Saccharomyces cerevisiae S288C: one gene and its partners. Changing the gene in region 1 together with any one later gene gives a genetic interaction. Each region holds a gene or a part of one and is shown on either strand. Other genes may lie near its edges.

Region 1 (3,494 bases):
TACTGTCCCAAGATTAAGCCCCTTGCATGCAAGTCCACCAGGATGTTCCTTAACAGCTCACCCAAGTACATGCCGGAAATTCTTTTTTCAAATAGATGGTAACCTGGATTTGGAGAAAATTTTTGGTCAATATCGATGTCATACTTTGTAGCAGACAAATGTTTCAATTCATTGTCGAAAGAACCCCATTCGATGTTGATGCACATTTGGGTTTTTCCTTCATGCAGCAGTCTTGTTCTGAGCTCATCTGGTAGCTTCTTGATGTTTTCAATATCCTCCATATAGCAACCGTTAGTACCAGTACCAAAGATACAACCAATGACAGGCTCGCTAATCTCACCAGCACTCGATGGACGAGAGCCTGAAGTGTAGCAGTGGGATAGGAAAGTGCCAACCGTGTCGTTGGTCAAAGCTACCACATTAATCATAGAGAGCCCCTGAATGTCTAATTGCTCCTGGTATAACCTCACGACATCCTTGCCGACCGTGTCTTCAATCTTGAAGCTTTTGGTCCATCTGATTAAAGTACCGGAACTCAAAGAGGTTTGGTCAACGGGATATGAGAAGGTAAATCCCATTTTCAAAGGTTTTATGTTCTCCCCCGTGGACTTCAACAACTCAGGATGATGCTTCCTAACGAAGGCCCTTGTACGGCGACCCAGGTAGCTAAACAGCTCCTCGCTGGTGACATCCTTGTCATTTAGATATTCTTCCGGAATCTTAGACTTCAATTGCTGCATATCAAAGGTTCCGTCACCATTCAAAGTCACAGAACACACTCTGAAGTGAGTCCCACCTAAATCTGCAGCCAGCAAAACACCACGTTCCGTCCCATTGGGCAAACTGGTTACATATGTAGGGATCATGGGTAGACCCTTGTCCACCGTCTTTTCTTCGCCTACAGAGGTGTTATTCAACCCCTTTTCCATACATTCAATGAAGTACGCTGTTAGTTCGTCCAACTTTGCTGCATCAACCTGCAATGAGGAGCAGATCTCAACCACTGCATCTTCCAATGCCTCAGCATTGACTTTATGTAAATTTTCAAATGACATTACTGTGTATCTATGATTCGATTCTTGTACAATTCTTCCTTGATACACTGATATCTGTTTCTATTTAAACTTCCTATAAGTATGAGACGTACAAAAGAACACGAGACAAGATGAGATTTTACACTTACACAGAATCGACTTTATATAATCCCGAATACATGTTTCCCCCCCCTGCATCGCAAGCATAATAGAATTCGACGACCCGATCTTCTTCCTCTGTCTTCCACACACACAAACACTAATTCACTCTCACTCTCTCACTTTCCCTTTCGACGACACACACAAAAAGACTTTCTGGATGCCCCGCGTTTTTTGTCACTTGATTCTTCGAACAAAGACGCAGGCAACTACCCCTGAAGGGCCCACCCGAAAGTAGTTGCTACTGCTCGTTGCGGTGGCTGCCAGAGTGGCGACGTAGCGTTGCGTTGTGGCTAACATTGGTGAGACAACCCGATTAAATTACTTAATGGGCTCTCCCACCGCCTTTGCACCCAGTGACAGCCATTTTGAAGATAGCATCGGGCTGGCTTCCAAATAAAATCTAGGTCGTTTCTATTAAGTTCGTTTCGTTATTTTTCTGTCTTCGCGGCGGACACGCAAGCCGACGACGACGAGGTTTAGTTGCATTTTGGCTATCATAAAAGAAATGGGCTTGTCGCAACGGGATCAGGACCAAGAACAGGGGTGCTGAGACTACTACTGTAACTGCGACCGACACAGCGTGCGAAACTAGGGAAGTAAAAAGGTATAGGAAGAAGAACTATGTTTAGAATAGCTAAAAACCTCGTACGGACTTTTGAGCAGAGCGTGCAAGATACCCTGGCACTCTCGCAGGACTCGAGCAATCTGGACGCTTTCTTTCAGTCTATACCACCAAATTTGTTGTCTGCTCAGTTGGAATCACCCGTAGATGCGGTTTCTGAAGGTGTTAAGCACACCAACGTCAATGAAACGCTTTCCGGTCTCCGCATTGTTTGGGTGGACGAGATGCAGTTCCAACTGCAGTCCTTTTTCGACTATATAGTAGGTTTCAATGATGATCCGGTGCCGGTGGTCAGTAATCAACACGGATTTTCGTACCCAGATTACCGTCGTATCACATCCATCTTCAATGAACACTGTGGCCGAACTTTGAAGGTCAACATATGGTCAGCTAAAGGAGGCACGTTCAGAGACGAGTATATCAGCATTATATCGAAGGAGAGCGACGATTTGGACGATGTTTCTCTAAACCATGACGAGAGGAGGCCATCTAGTGGGGAAGCGCACCAGTTCCAAGCACTCGGGTTCAAAGTCCAATGGACGCCTTTGATAGCTTCCACTTTCACATACCATATCCTGAACGTGAACATCCCAGATGGACCCGCCCAATCGGCAGGGCTCATCCCAGATGAAGACTACATTATCGGCTGCCAAGATGGCCTGTTGGCCACGGGAGGGGAGACGCTTTTACAAGATATTGTTAGATCAAGAGCAAACTACGATCTGGTCCTTTATGTCTACAACAAAGTTTCTGACTGTGTGAGACCAATCACAGTTCATATAGGTCCCGACGGCAGGTTGGGTTGCAACGTTGGATACGGGTTTCTTCACAGGATTCCAACAGTAAAGCACTGTCCACAACAAGCACAGCAGCAGGGGCAAGATGACAACCCTGTTCCTGTTCCTGTTCCAGTAGAATCTGAGACGGCTTTTGTGCCATCAGCATTCACAGCACCACCGGTGCCAACAAAGAAGAAATCAAAAAATAAAAAGGGTACCCAGCCATTGGCAATGGATGACTATTTTAATGAAGGCAGAGATAAGTCATCTACCGCTGCGAAGTCAGCAGAATCTGACATCCTCGCCCCACCACCACAAAAACAGTCATCCTCTGATTAACTTTCCTGGTTAGTCTTTTGGTTTTGTTTCATAGCAAAATTAAATATATATATATAAGCTTGCTTTCCCTTCAAAACACGTAAACGATAGTTGGCAATGTACGAAAAGTACCGAGACTTTTTTTCAAAGGCACGCGTGTCCTTTTTTGTTAAGACAATAGATATTTTAGCATTCAGAAAGTTTCAATTTCCAAGACTTGACGTTTCAATTATATGGCAATCTCCCAACAAGCACCCGCTCATATAATACCATGCAAGTGACCACAAGATTTATATCTGCGATAGTCTCGTTTTGCCTGTTTGCTTCTTTCACGTTGGCTGAAAACAGCGCAAGAGCTACGCCGGGATCAGATTTACTCGTTCTAACAGAGAAGAAATTTAAATCATTCATCGAATCTCATCCGTTAGTCCTCGTCGAGTTTTTTGCTCCATGGTGTTTGCATTCTCAGATCTTACGCCCTCACTTAGAAGAGGCCGCCTCTATTTTAAAGGAGCATAACGTCCCAGTTGTTCAAATTGATTGTGAGGCTAACAGTATGGTTTGCCTGCAACAAACTAT
Region 2 (2,676 bases), on another chromosome or scaffold:
CAGAAAAAATCGATAGCTCATCTACGTGTAGTAACAAAAACATGTAGGGTGCCAAATTGTACCCATATTTCCTTATGGTACTTTTCTGAAGACTCCTTACAATAGGTGCGCCGGAAACAAAGTCAGTGAAAGTACGCATCGTAGAGCTGTCGTTCGGCCTAGCACTCGCTTTTTCGTGACAACGTTCCAGGACACGGAAACTCAACTCATTATAGTATCCTCTGTTGAGGTAAAAAAGAGAAAGGGTATCGTAATCCTTTCTATTGAATTTCAAAGTATGCACTTGAAACAACGTGTAGACCATCACGTGGTTTGTTTGAAGGGATTGGTCCGCCCTGGAAATCTGGTTCGTCTTCAACAAACGTCAGGAACTTTTGTACATTTTTCCCGACCATGACGGAAATGACAATTTTTTCAAAAGACCTTTTCCTATCCATTGCACCAGTTCTGAATTTTACCACTTTGATTAGGCCAGACTTTTCGTCTTCGTAGAATGACCGCACTTCCGTGGGGATCGATTCAAATAAAGTTATTGAGGGACAATGTACCAAGTCGTTTTTGTTATTTAGAGCCGACTCAAACTCGTCAAAGTTTGCTTTTTCAAACTTACGCCTATCGGAAACTTTCATTTTATTTTTGTAAGTTTCGAAATTAACAATAGTATGTTGATTGTTATGCTTTTTGACAAGAAATCCATCAATATAAACAAAAGATTCTCCAGTTTCCGTCTTATCATCATCTAAGAATGTAATAATTAAGCTATTGAGAAGATGCAGAATCTGCGCTATGCAGGTGCAGCAAAAGCAAACAAAATCTCACTAAGATAAGCGACTGTCTGTCCCCTTCAAGCACAACATAGAAAACAGAAGGATGTCTCATTCATCGCTTGATTTCCGGCCTGCAAAAATAAAGTAGTCGGTACGTACGTTCGTTTTCAATTTCCATGGTGCACAGTATCTTAACTATCTGCTTAGTCGAGGAGAACCAGGATTCTGTTCGTTGCTCAGCCGCTTCGTGGATATTCTCTTGGATACTTTAAACATGGACCTACGCTTAGCCTGCGCTTAGCCTACAACTTCTTCCGCTCTCGAAAAGACCAATATAATAAAAAGTTATAAATTACATTTCCTTATTAGGTATACGACCTCGCGCTTCGAAGTAAAGGAGCCCTTTTTGGCGTACCTACATATGGCGCGTCAGACAGACAACCTTCCCTCAAAATGTATTACCCCGCCGAATAAGAAAACAGACCCATTCACCAACGACGTATCAAGTTACTTCCTTGGTTTGCAATGTCCCACTATAAAAAAATTCCTTAACGCTAGATCTTTGGGCTAAAATCTGCGTCAAACAGGAAATATTGCCTATTTTCGTACAAGGTTACTTCCTAGATGCTATATGTCCCTACGGCCTTGTCTAACACCATCCAGCATGCAATAAGGTGACATAGATATGCTATCCTAATCTAACCCTCGCCAACCTGTCTCCAAACTTACCCTCCATTACCCTACTGTCCACTCGTTACCCTGTCCCATTCAACCATACCACCCCAACCACCATCCATCCCTCTACTTCCTACCACCAACCCACCGTCCACCATAACCGTTACCCTCCAATTACCCATATCCAACTCCACCACCACTTACCCTACCATTACCCTACCATCCACCATGTCCTACTCACTATACTGTTGTTCTACCACCATATTGAAACGTTAACAAATGATCGTAAATAATACACACGTGCTTACCCTACCACTCCAATCCCACCACCACATGCCATACTCACCCTCACTTGTATACTGATATGGCATACGCACACGGATGCTACTACAGTATACCACTCTCAAACTTACCCTACTCTCACATTCCACTCCATGGCCCATCTCTCACTAAATCAGTACAAATGCACTCACATCATTATGCACGGCACTTGCCTCAGCGGTTTATACCCTGTGCCATTTACCCATAAAGCCCACGATTATCCACATTTTAATATCTATATCTCATTCGGCGGCCCCAAATATTGTATAACTGCCCTTAATACATACGTTATACCACTTTTTCACCATCTACTATCCACTCAATTTATATACACTTATGTCAATATTACAAAAAAATCACCACTAAAATCACCTAAACATAAAAATATTCTATCCTTCAACGATAATACATAAACACACTCAATTACGTATCAATACCACCATGACGTCATTAACGTATAAGTTCCTTAATATTACCATTGCTTGAACGGATGCCATTTCAGAATATTTCGTACTTACACAGACCATACATTAGAATAATATGCCACATCACTGTCGTAACACTCTCCCACAAGGATAACCATTTTGCACAGGGTGGCTTTGCATCTCATATTCGAGTCCATGAGCATTTTTTTATTCGCACTCCATAAAATATTTCAAGTCCATTGGCAGCACCTTTGCTGTGCGGTGGTATCACTGTGTTTTCACCATTATCGAGAAATGACTGTGGTGCAGGTAAAAAGGTGTGCTAATCGTCTCTGCGGTTTGGGGCACATAGGTATTGTATGGGCCAAAGCTATGTAAGCTGAACTGTATGTCTTCTCACGTGGCCAGTCGAAAAAGAAGGGCTCTTAAAAGCTCACCGCGTCAGAAGATGAAAAGTGGCCAAGAAGTACTTCAATACGTCGAATCTA
Region 3 (2,740 bases), on another chromosome or scaffold:
ATAAACCCAAGAGTATAGATTTGATCATGGCGATCAAAAATCCTTCTTTTCTTAACGGCTATAAATCCGAGATACTAGAGCTAAAAAATAGCCGATCCCACGTCAACGTGCAGGTTTACCTTACACAGAAAACAGCTGTTACAAAGGCAGCAAACGCACGAGACCAATTAATACATTTTGATGATATAATGACCGAACTGACAAGCTTCGCCCACATCGGCAATGCAAGACCTAATTTTAGCAATGTAATTGAAAACGCAATAAAAAGTACGCCGCCTGGAGATTCATTAGCGGTCGTGTGCTGCGGCCCTCCTGTTCTGGTGGACGATGTTAGAAACACCGTTTCTCAAAAACTCCTCGGTTACCCAGAGAGAATTATAGAGTATTTCGAGGAATATCAGTGTTGGTAAATCTTCTCTCCGGCTCCTTCTGATCCTACGCCCACCTATATCTACATATATCTACGGCACTAAAAACTTTTATGTACCGCATAAAAGGTGCTCTTTAGCAACTATTTTTAGTTAATTATTTGCGTTTTAGCTTTCAGGAATTTGCTTGCTAAGACGATGTCTAATAAATCCGGTACTTCTTTACTTGCAATTAATTACTAAGCGGCGCCTGAATTTTTCCGGCTTGATGCCGAGCAAAAATTAACTCTAAATCCCTTTCTGGGAACGAGTCTTTGAAGTTCTACGGTCTTTTGTCTCAGGAAAATATGTCCCGAGAAAGATGGAATAAGTATGGATTTTGTCCTTAACCAGTGGAGGTGGCGCTGCAGTCCTTCTTTTCAGACCCAAGCAAACAGACCAAAGGACATTTTTTTGGAAAATGTTAAGAATCAACCCTCCGAAATCTTTTCACGGCTCAAATTACTGCGGCCTTTTTCTGCTTCTTAAAAATGGGAGCATGATTATTTAATTAGCATTGCATCTGCGTGCACCGTAACTACTACAGTACTTTTACTGCCGCTGAGACGACAGCACGATCTGTTTTAACGTCGTAGGTGTATTTTTTTTTTTCCCGCTAAAAGAGCACCGCCATAATAATGACTTACCTCCTCCAATCCTTCTAGATGTTTTTCTTTAAACTCCTACAGTGAATTAGATTATTGCAAGTGCAAATTAAAAAAAAACCTAAAAAAAAAAAAGAAGGAAATAGTTTTTGTCCATACCGGACTATGGCTTTCATTAACGAATTAGAGCGCCGCTGTTATCCTTTTATTAACTTTTTATCGTGAATCATATCTGCCCCTCTCTCGGTTGATAGTATAAATATGTTGGTTTTAGTAGCTTATTAGTGTGCGCATGTCTTTTTTCTTGTTCCTGGCTATTACAATTCCTGAAAATATTCAAAAGCGACACTAGCCTACCTTAGTTATACTATGTCTAACGAATCTAACGACCTTGAAAAAAACATTTCGCACTTGGACCCGACCGGTGTTGACAATGCTTATATTCCACCTGAACAGCCGGAAACGAAGCATTCGCGTTTTAATATTGACAGAGATACCTTAAGAAACCACTTTATCGCTGCTGTGGGTGAGTTTTGCGGTACCTTCATGTTTTTATGGTGTGCTTACGTCATTTGTAATGTCGCTAACCATGATGTGGCTTTGACAACCGAGCCTGAGGGCTCTCATCCAGGTCAATTGATCATGATTGCCCTTGGTTTCGGTTTCTCTGTGATGTTTTCTATCTGGTGTTTCTGGTGGGGCTTTGAACCCAGCCGTTTCTCTCTCTTTGTGTTTGGCCAGAGCCATCTCACCAGCCAGATGTGTAGTGATGTGGTTTCCTCAGATCATTGCTGGGATGGCTGCTGGTGGTGCCGCTAGTGCTATGACTCCAGGCAAGGTTCTCTTTACTAATGCTTTGGGTTTAGGCTGTTCCAGATCTAGGGGGTTGTTTTTGGAAATGTTTGGTACTGCTGTGTTGTGTTTAACAGTTTTGATGACTGCTGTTGAAAAACGTGAAACTAACTTTATGGCTGCGCTTCCAATTGGTATTTCTTTATTCATGGCTCACATGGCTTTGACCGGTTACACTGGTACCGGTGTCAACCCTGCAAGATCTCTGGGTGCCGCCGTTGCTGCCAGATATTTCCCTCATTACCACTGGATCTACTGGATTAGCCCACTTTTGGGTGCCTTCTTAGCCTGGTCAGTGTGGCAATTATTACAAATCCTTGATTACACTACATACGTTAATGCCGAAAAGGCGGCAGGTCAAAAGAAGGAAGACTGAGAGTAGTCTGCTCAGAATTTTATCTTTTTTGGCATAACGCTCCCATCGTAGTTTAATTTAATTTAATTTAATTTAATATAATAATATCTTATTTTTCATATTTACTGTCCTTTATTTTTTTTTTGTTTTTATCTCTTCTGGTCAGAGTTCTGTTTTTACGTAAGCGGCAGAAGTATGCATTCTTCACATTTTTTCCTCCTAAAGGCAACATTGAGGCCAAACTTTGGAAACAAAGATGATGTGAAGTAATTATTTACCCATCAGAAATCTATGACAAGATAAGTGTACTGCACTGGATATGAGCATTGCATCTCAGAAAAAGGTTAAGCCATCGTTTGTTTGCTTGCGGTGTAAGCAAAGGAAAATCAAATGTGATAAACTTTGGCCTACTTGCTCCAAATGCAAGGCCTCATCCTCGATTTGTAGCTACGAAGTGGAACCAGGACGGATTAACAAATCTCCCACTATCGAAAATGCCCCACATAGAGACATTAGAAACA

What was found. A genetic interaction does not mean that the proteins touch.
Region 2: mutations in GRH1 (region 1) and YER188C-A together harm fitness more than expected from each alone (negative genetic interaction), as found in Saccharomyces cerevisiae (one large-scale study listed by BioGRID).
Region 3: mutations in GRH1 (region 1) and YLL053C together harm fitness more than expected from each alone (negative genetic interaction), as found in Saccharomyces cerevisiae (one large-scale study listed by BioGRID).

Annotation. Positions count from the first base shown.
Region 1 is NC_001136.10:1,475,422-1,478,915, forward strand, and holds GRH1 (Grh1p), read left to right. Parts: upstream 1-1,817; coding exon 1,818-2,936; downstream 2,937-3,494. Other genes in the region: EMI2 (putative glucokinase), read right to left, coding at 1-1,055; protein disulfide isomerase EUG1, read left to right, coding at 3,187-3,494. UniProt on the Saccharomyces cerevisiae protein: Involved in the spindle assembly checkpoint. Involved in ER to Golgi vesicle-mediated transport by either facilitating USO1-dependent and -independent tethering or increasing target accuracy of fusion events of COPII-coated vesicles.
Region 2 is NC_001137.3:569,108-571,783, reverse strand, and holds YER188C-A (uncharacterized protein), read left to right. Parts: upstream 1-1,876; coding exon 1,877-2,176; downstream 2,177-2,676. Other genes in the region: YRF1-2 (Y' element ATP-dependent helicase protein 1 copy 2), read right to left, coding at 1-304; YER189W (uncharacterized protein), read right to left, coding at 261-629.
Region 3 is NC_001144.5:35,003-37,742, reverse strand, and holds YLL053C (uncharacterized protein), read left to right. Parts: upstream 1-1,781; coding exon 1,782-2,240; downstream 2,241-2,740. Other genes in the region: FRE6 (putative ferric-chelate reductase), read left to right, coding at 1-410; AQY2 (Aqy2p), read left to right, coding at 1,382-1,831; YLL054C (uncharacterized protein), read left to right, coding at 2,539-2,740.